5 linked regions of the Sus scrofa genome follow. The protein of the gene in region 5 interacts with the protein of the main gene of each other region in a pairwise test. Links are inferred from orthologs where the notes say so. Each region holds a gene or a part of one and is shown on either strand. Other genes may lie near its edges. The genes, in order: SUV39H2, RAB5C, RAB22A, CRADD and APPL2.

Evidence for each region.
Region 1: the proteins of APPL2 (region 5) and SUV39H2 interact in binary tests that used the Homo sapiens proteins (3 or more experiments, as listed by UniProt). The link is inferred for Sus scrofa from reciprocal best matches to the Homo sapiens genes APPL2 and SUV39H2.
Region 2: the proteins of APPL2 (region 5) and RAB5C interact in binary tests that used the Homo sapiens proteins (3 or more experiments, as listed by UniProt). The two-hybrid records come from large-scale screens. The link is inferred for Sus scrofa from reciprocal best matches to the Homo sapiens genes APPL2 and RAB5C.
Region 3: the proteins of APPL2 (region 5) and RAB22A interact in binary tests that used the Homo sapiens proteins (3 or more experiments, as listed by UniProt). The two-hybrid records come from large-scale screens. The link is inferred for Sus scrofa from reciprocal best matches to the Homo sapiens genes APPL2 and RAB22A.
Region 4: the proteins of APPL2 (region 5) and CRADD interact in binary tests that used the Homo sapiens proteins (3 or more experiments, as listed by UniProt). The two-hybrid records come from large-scale screens. The link is inferred for Sus scrofa from reciprocal best matches to the Homo sapiens genes APPL2 and CRADD.

The regions. Positions count from the first base shown.
Region 1 is NC_010452.4:46,897,049-46,901,125, reverse strand, and holds the start of SUV39H2 (histone-lysine N-methyltransferase SUV39H2), read left to right. Parts: upstream 1-1,232; 5' UTR 1,233-1,237; coding exon of another isoform or gene 1,238-1,268; intron 1,269-1,476; exon of another isoform or gene 1,477-1,655; intron 1,656-4,077. UniProt on the Homo sapiens protein: Histone methyltransferase that specifically trimethylates 'Lys-9' of histone H3 using monomethylated H3 'Lys-9' as substrate.
Region 2 is NC_010454.4:20,633,673-20,636,456, forward strand, and holds the end of RAB5C (ras-related protein Rab-5C), read left to right. Parts: intron 1-380; coding exon 381-474; intron 475-1,360; coding exon 1,361-1,476; 3' UTR 1,477-2,280; downstream 2,281-2,784. UniProt on the Homo sapiens protein: The small GTPases Rab are key regulators of intracellular membrane trafficking, from the formation of transport vesicles to their fusion with membranes.
Region 3 is NC_010459.5:58,513,810-58,517,803, forward strand, and holds the start of RAB22A (ras-related protein Rab-22A), read left to right. Parts: upstream 1-1,175; 5' UTR 1,176-1,420; coding exon 1,421-1,456; intron 1,457-2,411; coding exon 2,412-2,491; intron 2,492-3,994. UniProt on the Homo sapiens protein: Plays a role in endocytosis and intracellular protein transport. Mediates trafficking of TF from early endosomes to recycling endosomes. Required for NGF-mediated endocytosis of NTRK1, and subsequent neurite outgrowth.
Region 4 is NC_010447.5:89,477,588-89,481,811, reverse strand, and holds the start of CRADD (death domain-containing protein CRADD), read left to right. Parts: upstream 1-1,406; 5' UTR 1,407-1,798; intron 1,799-2,139; exon of another isoform or gene 2,140-2,388; intron 2,389-3,020; 5' UTR 3,021-3,026; coding exon 3,027-3,324; intron 3,325-4,224. UniProt on the Homo sapiens protein: Adapter protein that associates with PIDD1 and the caspase CASP2 to form the PIDDosome, a complex that activates CASP2 and triggers apoptosis.
Region 5 is NC_010447.5:79,408,212-79,411,741, forward strand, and holds the end of APPL2 (DCC-interacting protein 13-beta), read left to right. Parts: coding exon 1-15; intron 16-218; coding exon 219-359; intron 360-1,157; coding exon 1,158-1,205; intron 1,206-2,895; coding exon 2,896-3,030; downstream 3,031-3,530. UniProt on the Homo sapiens protein: Multifunctional adapter protein that binds to various membrane receptors, nuclear factors and signaling proteins to regulate many processes, such as cell proliferation, immune response, endosomal trafficking and cell metabolism.

The sequences.
Region 1 (4,077 bases), on a different chromosome or scaffold from region 5:
TGAACTAATTTTGTGTTTTACTTAAATTTCTTTTAAAAATCGTTGGTAGACATTAAACAGCTTTCTGCGGAACTTTCGCAATTTACTAGTCTCAGATTTCCGCATCAGATCGTGCAGTACAATTACCATGGACGCAGTGTGTAGAATGGACGGGGGCGGGGTGGGAGTGGAGACCAGTTAGGTCCTAGCAAAGGACCTGTAGGACTTGGCATCTTACAGCCTACCCACAGGCATGGGGCGTAGCCTGGGGGCTCGTCATAAACGCGGAACCTCAGGTTCCAACCCAGACATACCTGATTCGAATCTGCATTTTAACGAGATGCCCAGGGAATTCCCATTACGGCTCAGCGGGTTACTAACCCAACCAGTATTCATGAGGATGTGGTTCAATCCCTGGCCTGCTCAGTGAGTAAAGGATCCCTGTTGCTGCGAAATGTGCTGTAGCTGGAGCTCCGACTTGAGCCCTAGCCTGGGAACTTCCATATGCCCCAGGTGTGGCCCTAAAAAAAGGCAAAACAAACAAAAACACCAGGATGTTCAGATGATTCCTGTACCCATTCGAGTGTGAGAAGCACTGTTCTAGACCAGAGGTTTCAAATTCCACATTTAGAATCACCTGGGGACCTCTAAAAACTCCAATGTTCCGGGTACACCTTTTGCCTATTAAATTTCTGCGAATGGAACCAAAAAAACCCCAAACCTCCAAGGAATCCCAACGTGCAGCCAATTTTGAGAAACTGTGATCTGGAGGAGTAGCCTGGAAGGAAACGTAACAGTGGCTAGTAGGGCTCAGGTGGCTAAGGAACAGGTACGGGAAGGAAACGTACTCTGCACTTTGTAGCTCCGCTCTGCGTTTGAAATTTTGCACGGTGTGTATCAGTAGCACCATGGAAAAGAACTAACAACTGTAGGAAAGCCTGTGGTAAGTGCCTTGAATTAGGCGCTAAACTAGGCAGATCAGGGCAGGTGGCCGCTGACCCAGCCCTACACTCCGGTATTCCGGCCACGGGCTGCTCTCCGGCCAGTTTGCCCCGCCCCTCCGCACACGGGGAGACAACGTGGGGCGCAGGCGCGCTGGCTGTCCCAGACAAGTCGGCCTCGGCTGACGTCAGGACGCCTCGCGGGTTCTAGCCCCCCGCCCCGGCCCCCGAGTCCCGCGCGGGCCGGGCGGGGGCGGGGCGTCGGCCAGCTGAGCTATCCCGTCCGACCGCGCCAGTTTGAATGAAAGCTCCTCAAGATGGCGGCGGCCGGGGCCGAGGCGCGAGGAGGTGAGGGCTGGAGAGCGGCGCCCCGCACTGTCCCCCGTCCTCCAGGCAAACTCCCGAGGCCGGGGAAGCGGGGCCGGGACGCGCGGGCGGGCCGGAGCGCGACGGGACAGGAAGCCTCCTGCCGCGCGGCTGACGCGGCGGCCCCTACACGCGCGCCGCGGGCCCCTCCCTGCCCCGGGCCCCTGACCCTCCTCGCGGCTCGGCCCGCCCGCGGCCCGCAGTCTCCTCCCGCGCCCGGCCCCCGCGAGGCCAGGCCCGCACGCCCCGCTGCCGGCTCGCGGACTCGGCGGTCTGGGTCCCGCTGCCGTTCGGGCCCGAGATGGGCCCCGGCCCGGCCGCGGTGCGGAGGCGTTCGAACGGCTCCGGCGGATCCCTGCGCGGCTCGAGGTCCGTGGGCACACGGGGGGCTCGACTCCTTTGTGCTGCTTTGAGCGGGACGGTTCGCGGTCCGGGCCGGTTTTTGAACTGGGGAGCGGGAGGCCTCCGGTGGTGTAGGTGTGACCTCAGTATCCGAGGAGAGGAGTAGTCGGGGCGGAGGTGTGGAGGCTGAGAAAGGAAAGAAGTGAGGGTACACCCCATTTTGGACTTACTGGGGGGCTTCCGCTCCCAGTTGGGAACATCCCAGGAAGTGGGTCTCGGAGGTTGTGGCCTCCGGCTCATGGGGAAGAGTTCTCCCCGGCGGGAGCTTGCGTGGGAATTAATGAGGTGGACGCCAAGGAGCTCGGTGCTGAACGTGTATTTGTGCGCGCGCTGAAAGACTGGAACTTTCAATGCCTTCTGGAACCTGAAAGGTGTTTCCAGCACTGCGCTTCTCGGCATAGATCGTGGACTCACTGCCCCCCAGCGTGTCTGCCACTAGGGGTTAGTGTGAACTCAAGTTTTGGGGGTGGTCGCGAAACGTTTAATCTTATAAAGGAGTTCTTTCCCTATCTTATTAGAGGCGATCCGAATTGTTACCAGGAGTTTGCAGGTTTTTTAGGTTCCAGTCGTTCTCAAACATAGCATTTCTGTCGAGGCTTGTGTCTTGAATCTGCATAGTACTCCGACTAGATAACAATGGTAGGAACAGCAGACAAACATACCTTGGGTAGATAATCCAGAGGAAGGTCCTTTGCATGCCATCAGCATAAGGAGGTTATCTTGACGCAAAACTTCCTGAAGCTTTTTCAGTGAAAGGATTTAAAGGGTCGTTTCTGTTCTGCCAAATTCCCCTACGTCCAAGCCAACACTCCAAAACAAGCACACTCTTAGCCCTAAATTTTGAAGAGAACAATTCCTTTCACTTTCTTGGTCTGGAATTACGAACCCTACTTCACGGTTCCTGACGGTGAGGTGCCTGTGTGAGTTGGGGAGGGTGAGGACGTAGTAAGAACAGCTGTGTTCTCTCTTCCCTGGAAATTACTTCAAAACAAAAGGTTATCACAACTACCTTGGAGAGCTACCAAGTAAAGCTTGCGTTTACTGATGGATTTTGTTTGGTAATCCCAGTTTACTCCAACCCTCACTCCTTTCTTCCCCCCCCCCCCCCCGCAGTGAATCTGAAACCTAGAAACAGAGAAACTTCTCTAAAGCCAGCCTCAGGGAATCTGGGGCAAAACCCCCTGATCCTCCCTAGTGCTTCTCATAGTCTCATAGCCATAAAACCAAGTTTATGACATCAATTTGTGTTAACATTTTAGGTGCAGTGGGTAGCATGCTATTTACAGGAATTTGAGGGTAAAATCTTCCTCAGCACAGTTAGTTTCTAGCTTCCATTCGTTTCTAGCATACTCTTGATTATGAGTATGTCTGCTTTTCTTCAAGCTTGGTGTATGGATTATTTAAATTGATACTCTGTATTGTCATTCTCGGCTTTAAAAACAATACAGGAATTGAATATTAGAAAACTCAATATACTGTCCATTATTTTATTATAATTCTTGGGCTTATTTACCTTGATAATAATATATTGCAGCCTGGGCAAAACTGGAGTTAAAACTTCATGCAGCCTTCCAAAGTGGGGAAAGTAGGCCATATGATGTATGAGTAACTAAAGAATTATATTTCAATTAGGTTTTATTTCTTATTGTTCAGCTAGGAGAAAGGGGGAACGTTACTTTTAACAATAGACGATAATTTTAAAATATATTTAAGATGTATTTATAGTGATGATTAGTATGTCCTTGAGATCTACATTTTTATTAAAACAGCACTTCTCTGTAGAATACAATGGAAAAGTAAAAAATATCTCTACCTTTGCATTTATATGTAATTTAAAAAAAATTTATTGGTGCTTAGTTGACTTACAATGTTGTGTTAGTTTCAGGTGTACAGCAAGTGAATCAGTCATAAATAGAGCCATTCTTTTTTCCCATTAAGGTTATTACAAACCATTGAGTAGATTTTCCTGTGCTATACAGTAGATTCTCATTAATCATCTGTTTTCTACAGTAGTGTGTGTATGTTACTCCCACCCTCCCAATTCTTCCCTTCCCCCCAATGGTTTCACCTATAGTAACCTTAAGATTGGTTTTGAAATCTGTGAGTTTGTTTCTGTTTTATAAATTAAGTTCTTTTGTGTCATTTTTTAATTAGATTCCACATATAATGCATGTAATTTTATGAAAGCTTACAGACATGAAACATTTTGTTCAGGTGGCCTAGTAGAAACTAATTGACATCAACTAAACATGTTAGGGTAGAGACCCATGAGAAAATCCAAGAAGACCGATTTACCAAAATAGTTCTTTAATGGTTAACTTTTTCTTAAAGACATGTAAATGATTTCTTGTCATATGAATTTTTAGTCTTATAAAATTGCCAGTTGAAG
Region 2 (2,784 bases), on a different chromosome or scaffold from region 5:
TGACCCCTAGCCTGGTAACTTCCATATGCCTTGGGTGGGGCCCTAAAAAGACAAAAAAAAAAAAAAAAAAAAAAAGTGCAAGTGTATTTGAGGGTAACTTTCTAGAAGTCTTTCCCAGCCTAGTGGTTTTGAAGAGCAAGAAGGCAGAATGGGCCTAGGGAGACCTGAGTCAAACATCTGCCAGTTTGTGTGAGCTGAGAGGTGCTGTAGGTGAAACAGGGAACTCAGAGCAGGAAAGAGAGCCTTGGGCCTGAAAACCCCTGTATGGTTCTGTTGGATGGAAGGCACTGTAATTGGGGAGGATTTTTATGCTGGGCTTCAGCCCCTGCCAACTGTCAGTGTTTGCCTCCCACCCACTTTCTCACCTCCATCCAAATCAGGAAGCACAAGCCTATGCAGAGGACAACAGTTTGCTGTTCATGGAGACATCGGCAAAGACTGCAATGAATGTGAATGAAATTTTCATGGCCATAGGTAAGATGCCTCCCCCGCCCCCAAGCAGGGTATATTACTTGCCTGCTGTTTTACAGTAGGTCTGTGGGGTCCTACAGATCTGGGGTCTGTTCACCAAGAGATCTTTTTCCATTTTTGATAGTGTGCTGAAGGGGTTTTCTTGTTCGTCTGACGCTCAGATATAGATAGTTCAGGGGGGTGGTGGGTAAAAAAAAAAAAAAAAAAAAAAAAAAAAGATATAGATAGTTCCCTCCAGAAGTCTCAAGCCTGGGCCAGAGTCTCACCATTTCACTTCCTGACCCTCTGCCGAGCGTGCCACCCACCTAAAATTCTACCTCTCCATCCCCAATCCGCTTCTTAGGATTTTTTCCTTTTTTTTTTTTTTTTTTTTTTTTTTTTTGCTATTTCTTGGGCCGCTCCCGCGGCATATGGAGGTTCCCATGCTAGGGGTCCAAATCGGAGCTGTAGCCACAGGCCTACGCCAGAGCCACAGCAACGCAGGATCCGAGCCGCGTCTGCAACCTACACCACAGCTCACGACAACGCTGGATCGTTAACCCACTGAGCAAGGGCAGGGACCGAACCCGCAACCTCATGGTTCCTAGTCAGATTCGTTAACCACTGCGCCACGACGGGAACTCCAGGATTTTTTCCTTTTTAAGTTCATTTGGCTCTGGAGTCATCCTGTGTGGCCTTGAATCTCTGCCACTTGTTAGCGCTGTGGTCCTGAGCAAGTTTTGTAGCCCCTCTTTGCCTCAGTTTCCTGAAAGACCCAGAGCGTGCCAGGCTTATAGAAGCGAAGCTGCCGGTATATTGGCTATCACGGATTGGGTGGTACCCACGTGGACCTGAGGGACAGTAGGGTGCCCTTACAGACACGCACCTTCCCCCCTCCTCTCCCATACAGCCAAGAAGCTTCCCAAGAACGAGCCCCAGAATGCAGCTGGTGCTCCGGGCCGGAACCGAGGTGTGGACCTCCAGGAGAACAACCCCGCCAGCCGGAGCCAGTGCTGCAGCAACTGAGCCCCCCTTGCCTGCCCATTGCCCCCACCTCCTCCGCCTCAACGACCCGACTGGAATCCACTCTAACCAATCGCACTTAACGACTCGGGCCACCACTAGGGGGGGCAGAGGGAGGGGTCCACCGTAATTTCTCCATATCATTTTGATCATAGGCCGGAGTGAGTTATTCCACCTGCACCTTTCTGTACAAATACTAATTCAATTTTAAGTCTTAAGTCACTTTTTTAATATATATGATCTGCTCTTCCCACTTCCTGCCCTTTCTACTGCTCTCCCACTCTTCCTCTGCCGGTAGTAGCCACGTGCCCCCGTTGCCCCAACCCTAGTGTATGGGGAGGTGGGGGTTGGAGCAGTTCCCCTTCTTTCCCTCTTGCTGATTAGCGGGCTCAGCAGGAGCATCCATATCCTTACTGTGTTTGGAGTGCGCTTGGTTCCGGGTGGCGGGGCAGGCCCTGGGGTTAGGGAAGGGAGGGGCCGCTCTCCCCTCAGCTGGCTGTCATCAGGCTGCGGCGCCCCCTCACCCCCTGACTCACAGCTGGGAGAGAACCCACAGCATTACCACAGCATTATTGTGACAGCCACGAACCCATTGCCCACAGCCCCCTTCCCCCTCGTCCTTGGTCACCCTGACCTCTGGCTCTGAGCCCTGTTCTGACCAAATCACGATGATGAGTATTGGGGGGGGGCGGGTAAGGGGGGGAGTGGGAGGGGATGGAACCAACTTTTTCTGTATTTTGTATTGTATGTTTTCTTCAACATGTAACCAATCAGTATCTTGTCAATATAGTCAGCCGATCGATCGACCTCCCGCTTGTCTTTCTTGTCTTTCTCTGGCAGAGTTTTATGAGGCCATATCCTTTCTGTCTTACTTGAAGTTAATTTAAAATGAACCTCTAAATCTTATTAAACAAAAGCTTTCTTCTTCTCAAGTGAGGGGATGGTGGTGGTCATGGCAACCAAGAGAAAGAGGCCAGCTGTTAACCAGCTCTGGTGGGGTGGAGGGGGTAAGAGTGAGCTGGGCCTGAGTCGCACCTAGTTTGAAGCTGAGGGTCCGCATCTCCCTCTTCCCCATCCCCTCCAGATTATATTGGGCCGATGAGCAGTCTGTATTTGGAAACGGTCTCTGAACACCAGAAACACCCTCTCTGGGGTTCTTTGATTCGTCTCTGCTAGGCTGGTGAGGGAATGGGTCCTCTCATCTTCTCCCCTGAAGAAGAAGGAACACCAATGACCTCTGGAACCTTGGACTGGTCATATGGCCCAGACGGCAGCCCCACACCAGGTCCACGCCGTCTGATCCCTGGTCTC
Region 3 (3,994 bases), on a different chromosome or scaffold from region 5:
AGCAGGCATCCCCCACGTGGTAATTATCTGTTTACAAGTCTCTCCCCGGACCCTGAGTCCCTGAGAGTCAGCCTGGTGAATGGTTCATCTTTGTGGGTGCCGGGCTGGCCCAGCCCAGAACCAGCAGGTGCTCAAGAAATGTTTGTTGAATGGAAAAGCAAAGCTTCATTCACCACAATTAGGAACTTGCAAGTCCAGGAAAACCTTCCCCAGCCATCTGCCCTTAAAGCGATGTTAAAGGACAGGGTACGACGTGACAGGAGAAGGAGACCCCTGGAGAAAGGCGGGCGACAAGGGGCTCCCTGGACGAGGCGGAGGTGAGCTTGCGGCCAGGACGCGTGAGAACTCCGCGGCGGCCACCGGAGAGCCGGGCCTCCCAACTGCCCGCCCTCGGGGAAGTGCCCAGGGAGGGCAAAGCGGAGACCCGGGGGGTCGCTCCCCCACGCCCACGGCGGCCACGCCTCCTCCCGCCCAGCACCTCCGGGACTCTGGACGCCGGTCCCCGCAGGGCCGCCGCAGGGGCACGAGGAGGAGGAGGAGGAAGAAAGTGACAGGAAGTCAGAAGTGTCCCAACAACAAAAATCCTCCCGGTGGCGGGGAGGGGGCTCCGCATCTTCGGCCGCCCCGCGCAGAGAGGAGGGACCGCCACAAGTGGTCTAGACAGTTGGGGTCCCGCTCTTCTGCTCCCAACGCGCCGAGCCTAGTTTGTAGGTCCCACCCCCAAGTTCAGTGCACCCCGAATTCTGTGAGAGGTTCCCGGGCAGGGGCGGGGACGCCCCAACTGTTACTTACAATCGTCTAAGTCATCCGGCAAGTCCACAAAGTACCGGGGGAATTTCTGAAAACCAAGAGACACACAAGAAGTTACGAGGGGGCTGCGGCAGGCAGGCTCGGGGCCGGGATAGGGCTCCCCCGGCCTCGCGGGGCGATCACGGCTAGAGGGGAGGGGGCGCCCCAAGAGCCCGGCCCCACTCACCCGCCATCTTGGGATGGGCCCGGGGGCGGGGCCGGCGGGAGGGGGCGGGGCCGGCGGGAGAGGGGCGGGGAATCTGGCCTCGGGCCCCGCCCCCGGGCCCGGGCCTCCCCGCCAGCCTCGCGGCGCCGGCCGGCCCCGCCCTCTCGGCGAAGGTGGCTGCCGAGGTGGGCGGGGAGGTCAGGTGACCCGGCTGGCGTCCCAAGATGGCGGCAGCGGAGGCGCCCGGGAGCCCGCCGCACCGTCCCGGCTGCTGAGGAGGGCCCCGCGCGGCTGGCGACGGACGGGCCGGGCCGAGGGCCGGCGAACGGGCGGCCGCCGCCTAGACGCGCCCCGCAGCCGGGGCTAGGCCGTGCGGCGGCGGCGCCGGGGGATGCTCGTGCTGGGCCGGGCCTCTCCCTCCTCAACTTAGGGCGGCGGCGGGCCCGCGCCCCTTGCTCCCGGGCCATGGCGCTGAGGGAGCTCAAAGTGTGTCTGCTGGGGGTGAGTGGTGACCGGCTGGCCAGGAGGGCCGCGGGAGGCCGGGCGGGCCGGGGACCCGGGCGTGCCCACATCCCCCCGCCCCTTCCCCCAACCTCCGCGCCGGACGCCGCCTACCTGCCCCGGGACCCACCCTCCAGCCCCCGGGCCGTCCAGCCCACCGGGCCGCTCCCTCCTGAAGGTTTTGCTGGGCCGGGGGACCTTCCGCCTTGTCTGGAGCCCTAGGAGTCGTCCTGCCCCCCAGAGGATGAAGAGCCCTCCCTGCCTCCCCTTGCATCTAGGTTAAGAGCAGCTCTTGAATAGTTTCCTACCCATGTACTAGTTAGGAGTTGGCCCAGTCTTGCAAAGTAAAACCCATAACAGGCCTTTAGGTTTTACAAAGCTTGGTCTTTTGAACTTGTGGGATACCCCTGACACTTCAGGAAGAGTTACTTTTCGTGGAGCGGGGGGAGACATTCAAATCAGGAGGCCCCAAAATTAGTTTGCAGCTTAAGTTTCCTGTCTTGTCAAGGCACCTTTGCTGTTTGGGAGCATATCTGAGGTTGATGCTCTCCTGAGTTGCTGCTTGAAAGACTGATAAAGATTTCCATTGGTTTTCCTCTTTCCCAGATTGGGTGGGGCTGGGATATATCAGGGATTACTCAGAAGTAATTCAAGAGTTCAGAGTGAGTTATACAGGTCAGAAAGCAAGTGAGTTTGTCACTTTTCACACTAAGCAGAGACTTTGGGTCTTTCAGAAGGTTCTCGTGTCTCTTAAAAGCTCAAAACCCCTCTCCTACAATCCGTTTTGAAATCTCCGAAGTACTCCACTGAATGTTTATAAAGACTTCCTTGGTGTCCCTTAACTTCTAAAATTCAGGATGATTTTTCTAAAGTCCTCAGCTCTTGGCACAAGATCGTTTTCAGTGTCTTCAAGCAGGTAAACCTTTTCTGATTCACCTGTCTCATTCTCTTTCAGGATACAGGTGTGGGTAAATCCAGCATTGTGTGGCGGTTTGTGGAAGACAGCTTTGATCCCAACATCAACCCAACAATAGGGTAAGAGATGGAGCTTATTGAATATACATGTAAAGGTGTATTGAAAGTCCTTTCTCATTAAAAATGTGTCACAGGGGGCGGCATCCTCATTTTAAACTCTAGTAAATTTCGAGGCAGTGGTTCCTTTTGTCTCAGGAAGGGCTTAAAACCCTCACAGATTGCTGGGTTTTAGAAAAATTGGCTTTTGATTTCGTGAAAACTTCAAAATGGAAACATGAGTTTAAGTTTGTTTTAGAATACACATAATGCCTTCAGCCTGTGACTATAACACCAATTACATCTTGAAATAAGGCAGAAGAAAACAGGTCCTAATAATTTTTTTCCAGCATGTCAACTGAAAGAAATTTTAGGTGGCTTTAGTTCTTTCTGAAAAGTAGTTTATGGTCTTTCTGAACCTTTCTCACACCTTCCTGCACTAGGAGTAATGATGAATTGATAAATTAATGTCAAACCGTAAGGGTTTTTTTCAGGTATCTGGTTCTTAGAATAAGCGAAATTGGCTATAGGCTTTTTGACTTTGCGAAAACTTTCCCGAGTGTTTAAATGTGATATTAACTCTTTCTCTTGAGAAGTTTTGTTTCATGGATTTTAGTATTTTGTTATTGCTGGTAAAACTAAGTAGCTGCTCTGCAAACCCCTGATCACATAGTTTCTCCCATTTAAAGAAATTGTGTTCCGCCCAATTGGGAGCTATGTTACAGCACATCCACACGCATCCGAAGGCGTGACGGTGCCGCAGCCACTCACTTTGCGAGGTGAAAATGCCTTCCAGGACCCTTCAAGAGAGAACTGCGTCTGTCCACACGCTTAAGGTGTGAACTCATCCTCCTCAGGGCCTGCGTGTCACTACCTGCCTGGGAAAGCGAATGGACAGGAAGTGAGAGCAGGGAGAGCTGGCGACTCAGAGAATGACGCACCTCACCCCACGTCAGCGCTGACCACCCCAAGGCTGGCTTGGGTGGAAGTGCGCTCTCAGACGAGAAGAGGGGAGACGGAGGGTCTAGCTCTGGCAGTCATGCGGAGGCCTGGGGCGCGGTCCTGGGCATCCCCGCTTCCCTGTCTGCCAGCCCCCCTAGTCCGACAGGTGCTGGGGTCTTTAACCTCCTGGAGTCCCACTCTCTGCACTGGGTGGTCTAGGCTCACACCCGCAGAAGAGACAGATACGAGGCTTTCCACTCATCCCCTCCCCCTTCCTTCTCCTCGGCAGGTGTCTTCCTCCTTCATGACCACCCCCCACACACCTGAGCTCCGGAGCCCCCCTTCCTCCCGTCTCCCCTTTCTTCCGCCGCTCTGCCTCCGTGTGGGGGCCTGCAGAGGCGCCCCCACTCTGCAGGCGCCGCCAGGGCAGGGCCATTCCCCACACCTGCCGTGCAAACCACGGGACTCGAGAAAGAGAAGTTACTGCTTCCTCAACTGCTGCTTCTCCTCAACCACCATGGTCGCTGTCCCACCCCTACCGTCCCCTCAAACCTCCTGCCCTCGGTACCTCGCTCCATCTCATTG
Region 4 (4,224 bases), about 10 Mb from region 5:
CCCACTGAGCAAGGGTAGGGACCGAACCCGCAACCTCATGGTTCCTAGTCGGATTCCTTAACCACTGCGCCATGATGGGAACTCTAGGCATGTTTTAAAAATAGGTAGTTTTATATGGGTTTTTTTAGTTGGTGGTGTTAATAATTGTTTCAGCCTTATCATATGTTTGAAAATTATCAAATTTTACAGTTGGAAAAAATAATTTTTTTTCCTCCCCCCAAAGTCAGTAACCTCAGCTATTGGCATTGTCAGAAGAACTCTGCATTTTATCTGGAATGTTGCTAACACCTGTCCATAAACAGAAGGAGACTCTCTGAGAAAAGAACAGCAAAAGAACAAAAGAAGAAGAGGAGAGTGGAGACAATACCTGTTACTCAAGAGTATCAAGAGTAGAGGTGGCACCAATTATTTACTAGCATTTTTCTGTCATTAGAAGAGCAGACTTTTCACCATACAGGGATGTGAGATGTTCTCTATACTGGAAAGAGCATGAAATCAGACGGAGCGAATGAACTCAGGTTTTGCTATTTGTTAGCTGTGAGGTTTTGGTTAAGACACCTGACCACTTTGATTCCACAGTCCTCACATATGTAAAATGCTAATTATACTACTTTTCACCCAATGTAAAAATAGTGTCACTGGCATAGTAAAATGGCATATTGGTATAGTAACACTTTAAAGTGGTTACAAAAATTAGAACGTTTCAAAGAGGTTTAGAATTGCTTTCCATTTCTGATTCAGTTTGCCGATGTTTACTAGTCATTCTTCCATGTTCAGATCTTCAGTCTTTCTAATAATCGTGAAAGTCCTCAATGCCTCATGACAAATGCCTTTCTGTCCAGAACAGCTCGCGGATTGCTTTAATGAATTCCTACCTGATTGACTTGTAAACTCTTTGTGGGCAGACCCTTGTGATATAAAGGAATGACTGCAATTAGTGGGGGGTAGGGGTTGGGGATGGACTGGGAAACATGATAAACGAATGATTAAGTAAAAATTTTAGTAAGATGGTGATATGTGCTTCAGATAAAATGAAGCTGTAAGAGGGATGGGGAGGGCAGAAGGTGAATATTGCAATTTTAAAAGGCATGGTTGAGGAAGCTGCAATTTTATTTTATTTATTTTTTTAATTGTCTTTTTGCTTTTTCTGGGGCTGCTCCCTCGGCATATGTTGGTTCCCAGGCTAAGGGTGTAATCGGAGCTGTAGCCACCGTCCTAAGCCACAGCCAGAGTCACGCGGGATCCCAGCCGCCTCTGCGACCTACACCACAGGTCAGGGCAACGCCGGATCCTTAACCCGCTGAGCGAGGCCAGAGATCGAACCCTCAACCTCATGGTTCCCAGTCGGATTCCTTAGCCACTGCGCCACTACAGGAACTCCAGGAAGTTGCAAATTTAAATAAGAGTGATCAAGGAAGGTCTCCCTGATAAGGTAACTTTCGAAACCTGACTATCTATTACGTCAATTGAGTACAAAGCCCTGGTGGAGTTACTGTGTTAAAATACAATTATCCAGTGACTCCTTTCCTAAGCGAAGGTACGTTTTCCATCTCCAGAAGGTTTCAGTATTTACCCACAGCAAACATGGCGGAAAAGGCTTCATCCGAACACACTCGGGCCACCAATAAAGAGGGCCACAGCGCTTCCTGTGTTTGCCCTTAACAAAGATGGCTACAACACTTCCTGTTCAGGGCTCTTGCCTTCAACAAAGATGGTGCCCATGGTACAGGTTCCCTGACTGTCTGGATTCCGGTTGCAGTTTGTTCTGTTTTGTTTTTAAAGATACGTGTTTGCAGACGTAAGTAACAGGAAACCAGAACCCCCGTATCCATCTTTTCTCAAAGACCCCGCGTCGTGGCATCTGCAGCCTGGGCCCTGCAAGCCCCCCCACCGTCCCGCCCCGTGACTTGCTCGCGGCGTCCCCGAGCCCGCGGGGTCGGGGTGACGGGGTGACGCTCTCCCCTCGGGCTCCCCTGCAGACCATTCCCAGCACTCCCTTTTTAGTGGGTCAGGTTGCCTAGAAAATCTTTCGTAGTTCTTCCTGTTGTTAATGCCACAGAGCTTGAGCTGGCAGGGCAAGGAATAAAACGAAGTCCCAAACGAGTAGGAGTTGCCCAAAGTGCACACCGCCCTGCTTACCTGCCGCCCCTCGGGGTCGCCCGCTGTGGTGGTACTTTCTGTGGGTGTTGTGAAGCCCCGTCGGCCGCCCCGGCCTCCCCTCTCCGCCACTTACTCTCCTGGCTGGCCCTCTGTTCACTGCTGCAGTGGTCTTGGAAGCAAGCCATCAATGGCCTGTGGACATTTTTTTTTTTCTTTTAAAGGAAACAAACACACCCATTAAATATCCCATGCATGTGTGGCCGTGGCAGTGTTGTGATGGAGGTTTGGAATTCTTCCAGGGAAGGGCTGGAGTCTGTGATTAGGTGTAAGGTTTACTGTAGACTGGGCAGGAATGTTTAATGTTTTCCTTGAAGGCCTTTTCTCTTGGTGAAAAAGATTCTTAAACGTATGGTACCCCCACAGGTTTCTGGCCTCACCCCCACTGCGGATCAGGTTCGGCACATGCCCTGGGTCTAAAGGATACCCACATGGATATCAGCAGTTTCTGCCGTGATGGGGTTATCTCTGATGAAGGCAATGTTAAAATAAAAAGCACTGTTTCTTCTCAAGCATGCTAAAATGAAATGCTCCTCTGTTATCCTCAGAAAAAAATTGCTTTTAAAGTAGGGTCTCTGATCCACTTTTTTTCCCAATCTCTTTATGGAACAAGACTGGAGCTAGGACCTCACTATGTAGAGAGCAAAAACAAAGGGCATGATTCATGCTCAGGGCTGTTCATCACGTTCAGGAACATTGGAAATTAATTCAGCTCGGCTTAACAGCTGCGTATGAAACACCGTGGCCTGGCACTCTGCTAATTTTCAGAGACGTCCTTGACCTTAAGGAGTTTGCATTGTAAGAGCCTTTTTAGGGGCTCATCAGGCATCCCGTGATCTGAGCTACCTTTTGTCTTTTCCCAGGGGCACATGGAGGCTAGAGACAAGCAAGTCCTTCGCTCCCTTCGCCTGGAGCTGGGTGCAGAGGTGCTGGTAGAGGGGCTGGTTCTCCAGTATCTTTACCAGGAAGGGATCTTGACGGAAAACCACGTTCAAGAAATTAAAGCTCAAGCTACAGGCCTTCGGAAAACAATGCTGCTGCTGGATATCCTACCTTCCAGGGGTCCTAAAGCATTCGATGTATTCCTAGATTCCCTGCAGGAATTCCCTTGGGTAAGGGAGAAGCTGGAGAAGGCAAGAGAAGAAGCCATAGTTGAGCTGCCTGCAGGTAGGCCTCAAAATGATCCCTCCAGACCAGCTCCCAAAGTGTTGGAATTGTGCCCTTTGGATGTGAAGTTGGGGTTTTAGGCTGCCTGGGCGTTGGCCTGTCCTGAAAATGGGTACGGAGTTTGTGCTGAAGGCACCTGGCGTTGGTGGGACCAGATGAGGAGGTGGAGCTAGGACGTGCAGCGGGGGAAGGCGCAATGGGCCATGGCTGGGAGGGTGAGGCGGGAACGCAGCGGATAGTTTAGAAATGCTTCCAGGGAAAGTTGGCAGGTCCCTTGGGAGGCATGTTCTCCTCTGAGAGCCAGGTCATGTCTCAGCCCTTGGCATCAGGAGCCATTTGGAAAGTGCAGATGGGAAAGTAGGCTTCAGGCGTCCTGATAACTGATGTGTGGGGTGCCAGAGGGGTGCCAGAGCGGCGGGCCGGAAAAGGTCAGACTCATGAAGGAGGAGACAGCGTCTAGGAAGGCACGCCTTGCACCTGCTCCATGGCCCACCCTGCGTGGCCAAAGGGGATTATTTGGAAGGCTGGCTTTGTTTGTTTTTAAAGGCTGTTGATTTAAAGTCTTCCTTTCAGGTGGGCTTTGTTTGGACACCTGGAGTGTTTAATTTGGTGTGGACAGTGCTTTGGGGGAGGGATGGCTCCTTTTGATTTGAAGGAACGTTGGAAGCTATGAAAAAGAGAAACCGTCCTAGGGTTATCAGCCTGGCTTGTGTCGGAAGGAGATGTGATAGGAAACACTTGTTCCCTCTTAACACCTCTCATGCTTTCTACTTTTTACGGAGATTGAGGAGCAGAAAACTGAACTGGCCAAAAAAAAAAAAAAAAATTTACTTGCTTTTTTTTTTTTTTTTTTTTTTGTCATTTTTAGGGCCGCACCCGTGGCATATGGAGATTCCCAGG
Region 5 (3,530 bases):
GTAACAAGGGCCAATGTAAGTACCTTCATGCATGCTAATTTTAGTGATTAATTCACCTTTGTAGTCACCTTAAACACAAAGTAGGCACTTAATAATTTTGTTTGGCAAATTAAATGTCACTAAAACACTTTTTTCATGACTTTCTCTGTGGAGAATGACCTTGTCTTTTTCAATTCCAGCTTGTTGTGTGGTATTCAGTATATTCTTATTTTTTCTAGTTCGAACTTACCAGTGTCACTCAGTTTGCTGCTCATCAAGAAAATAAAAGGCTGGTTGGCTTTGTGGTGCGCATGCCTGAATCCACAGGCGGAGAGTCGCTGAGCACATATGTTTTTGAAAGCAACTCAGAAGGGGAAAAGGTCTTGTTATTTTCTTCACCTTCAATGTTCCATGATATCTCAGTCCAAAGACATTTAAAGAGTTATTTTGCATGACTCCCTTAGATATTCAGTTGGCTGTTCCGCAGGTCTCCATTGAGAAGTTTAGATAATAATACCTTCTAGGAAGGTCCCATTGATTGAAAACTGACTAGAGTAAAATTTCCTTCTGGAAAATACATATCAACCAAAATAGAGTGAATGAAGAACTTTAAAGATGAAGTAGAATTGTTTAGCAGAGATACTAGGGAAGTGTTAAAAGCAGTTCTTAAATTTGTTTGTTTTTTTTAAAAAAAAAAAAAACAAAGCAGATGTTACAATGGAGAAAATTTATTCTCAGTGAGCAAACCAAGGAAGCAGATGTCAGGAGAGTGTATCTAAACTATTCCCTTCTTTAATATGAAATACTTCATGGCTGCATTCACTACTTAGAAGTAATCAAAATGAACCAATCCTTATTTCAGAAAGTATTTGTTTGCCACTGTGTATATGAATATGCAGCGGCTAAATATGGGTAAGAGGGAAAGGAGAAAAGTACCCTGTTAAGAATTTTAAATGATTTAATAACTTTTCACTTAACCTGCATATTGTTTGTACACACAAACTGGCAGTAGGAGACCAGGCCTCTAGTGTTCAGAGCCCTGGTGCTGAGTCTCCTTCAGTCCTCTGTCCCCATGTTGACATGAGCAGACAGTGACTTCGTCGTACTTTCATAATCACATTTTTTCTAAAATTATTATTTTCTGCCTTTGCCAAACACTGCTTTCTTGTCTTTTCCAGATATGTTATGCTATTAATTTGGGAAAAGAAATCATTGAGGTACAGAAGGTAAGGTGCATTTTAGTGCTGGTTTAATGACTACTCAAAAGATTTCTATGCGCGTATTAAGATTTCACTCAAAAAGAGAAATGACAGTCAACTAGGCAGAGTGGCCAAGTTTGGGATTTTCTTCTAAGCATTCTGACTACCAGGCATTTTGGATCAGCTAGTTCCATGGTCACTGGTAACACTTGGAGTTCTTAATATCACTGCTGTAACTCCTGCTCTTTTATCAAGTTTTGGGGTTTTTTGGTTTTGTCTTGTTTTTGCTTGCTACTGCTGTTGGTTAGATTGCCTTTCTTCCAAATTAAGATGGTACAAACTTAATGCTCTAAGGCCCTGCTCCTCGGAGTGGTCGCAGGTCCAGCAGCATTGATATACGTCACGTAGAAACTTATTAGAAGTGAAGACTCTTAGACCTCTTTTTCAGCAGTTTACAGCCTTTCATTTACCCAACAAATTTTTGAGAGCAAAGTCTGTGTAAGAAAAAAACCTGGAATTAGAGCAATAAACAAGGGAGACACACTTCCTACCCGGGTTTGGGGGTGGAGGGCTTCTAGTTCTGCACTATGAAACAGAACTTTCTGCAGTGATGGAAATGATCTTTTATTTATTTATTTATTTGTCTTTTTGCCATTTTTTGGGCCGCTCCCGCGGCATATGGAGGTTCCCAGGCTAGGGGTTGAATCGGAGCTGTAGCTGCTGGCCTACACCAGAGCCACAGCAACGCGGGATCTGAGCCGCGTCTGCAACCTACACCACAGCTCATGGCAATGCCGGATCATTAATCCACTGAGCAAGGGCAGGGATTGAACCCACAACCTCATGGTTCCTAGTTGGATTCGTTAACCACTGAGCCACGATGGGAACTCCTGATCTTTTTAATATGCAGAGTGAATGAGGCTAGTGTGATCAAGGAACTGGATTTAAAAAAAATTTTTTTAGGAGTTCCCTGGTGGCACAGTCGATTAAGAATCTGGCATTGTCTGCTATGGCATGGGTTCGATCCCTGGCTAGGGAACTTCTGAATGCCTCGGGCACAGCCAAAATAAAACAAAATTTTAATTTAAATGCAAATAGTGATGGAGTTAGTGGGATCATACTATCATCTATCAAGGAGGGGCAGGTGGATCAAGGAGTAAGACCAACATAAGGAAAAAATGGCAAGCACTGCAAGTTCACATTTTATGGTATAGATCAAAGTTGGCGAACTTCAGTAATGGGCCAGATAATAAACCTTTTTAGGCTTAACCATCTCTGTTGCATCTACTTAGCCCTGCTGTTGTAACACAAAAGCAGCTCTAGATAGTATGGAAATAAATTGGCATGGCTGTGTTCCATTTAAACTTTATAAAAAACAAGTGATGAGCCAAGTGGCCATAGTTTGCCACCTCTCAGTATCAAGTAAAAGGAACAAGAGAAGTTTAAAGACAACGGGGTTGTTAAGGAAGTTCTTCCCTGGACTCTCCAGGAAGATGATTCTGAATTGACTGTAAATGATGTTTTGGCTGAGAGTTAAAACCTTAGCCTAGTTTCTGGAAGAGGATTTTTTTTTGAGATGCAGGACCTACTTGAAGGCACCCATAGACAAAAATCAGGAGTGAAGCTAGGTTACAGAACATAGTGACAGCCAAGCCAAAGCGGTTTTAAGTGCATTTTAAGCGTTTCTTTTCTTCCTCTTAAACTCCCATAACTTCAGGATCCAGAAGCATTGGCTCAACTAATGCTGTCCATACCACTAACCAATGATGGAAAATATGTACTGTTAAACGATCAGCCAGATGACAGTGATGGAAGTTCAAGTGAAAATAGAGGCGCAGAATCTGAAGCATAACTTTCTTGCTGTGCCTTTGGGGGAAGAGCACCCAGGAAGGAGAACTGCCTCCTTAAGGGTTTTCAACTTCTCTAACGCAGGCACACCACCTGGTTTCAGAATGCTGACAATCACTTGTGGAATGTACTCTTGATGCCTTGATACTGAAACTTGGGAGGGAAACAGTAAGCAATGGTTGACAACATACCCATCTGCAAATGTTATTTTAGGTGCTTTGTGGTAAGTCTTTTTCTTAGATTGCACTGTTCAGCGCTCAGAATGAAAGCTATGAAAAAAAGGCATTGTTCACTTTATTTCATCATCTCTTTTCAGTTTCCAGTATCCTTTTTTAAAAAATGGTAAAAGCCTAGATTTATAATTTGATAAACACTAAATATTTCCTATTAATATCTATTTTTGTATTTTACTTAGCTTTAAGTGCCTGTCATTCTGAAAATTGTGTATTTATAATCAAGCTTGTCTTATAATTGGACCTAATAGCATTAACTTGTGTAGTTAAA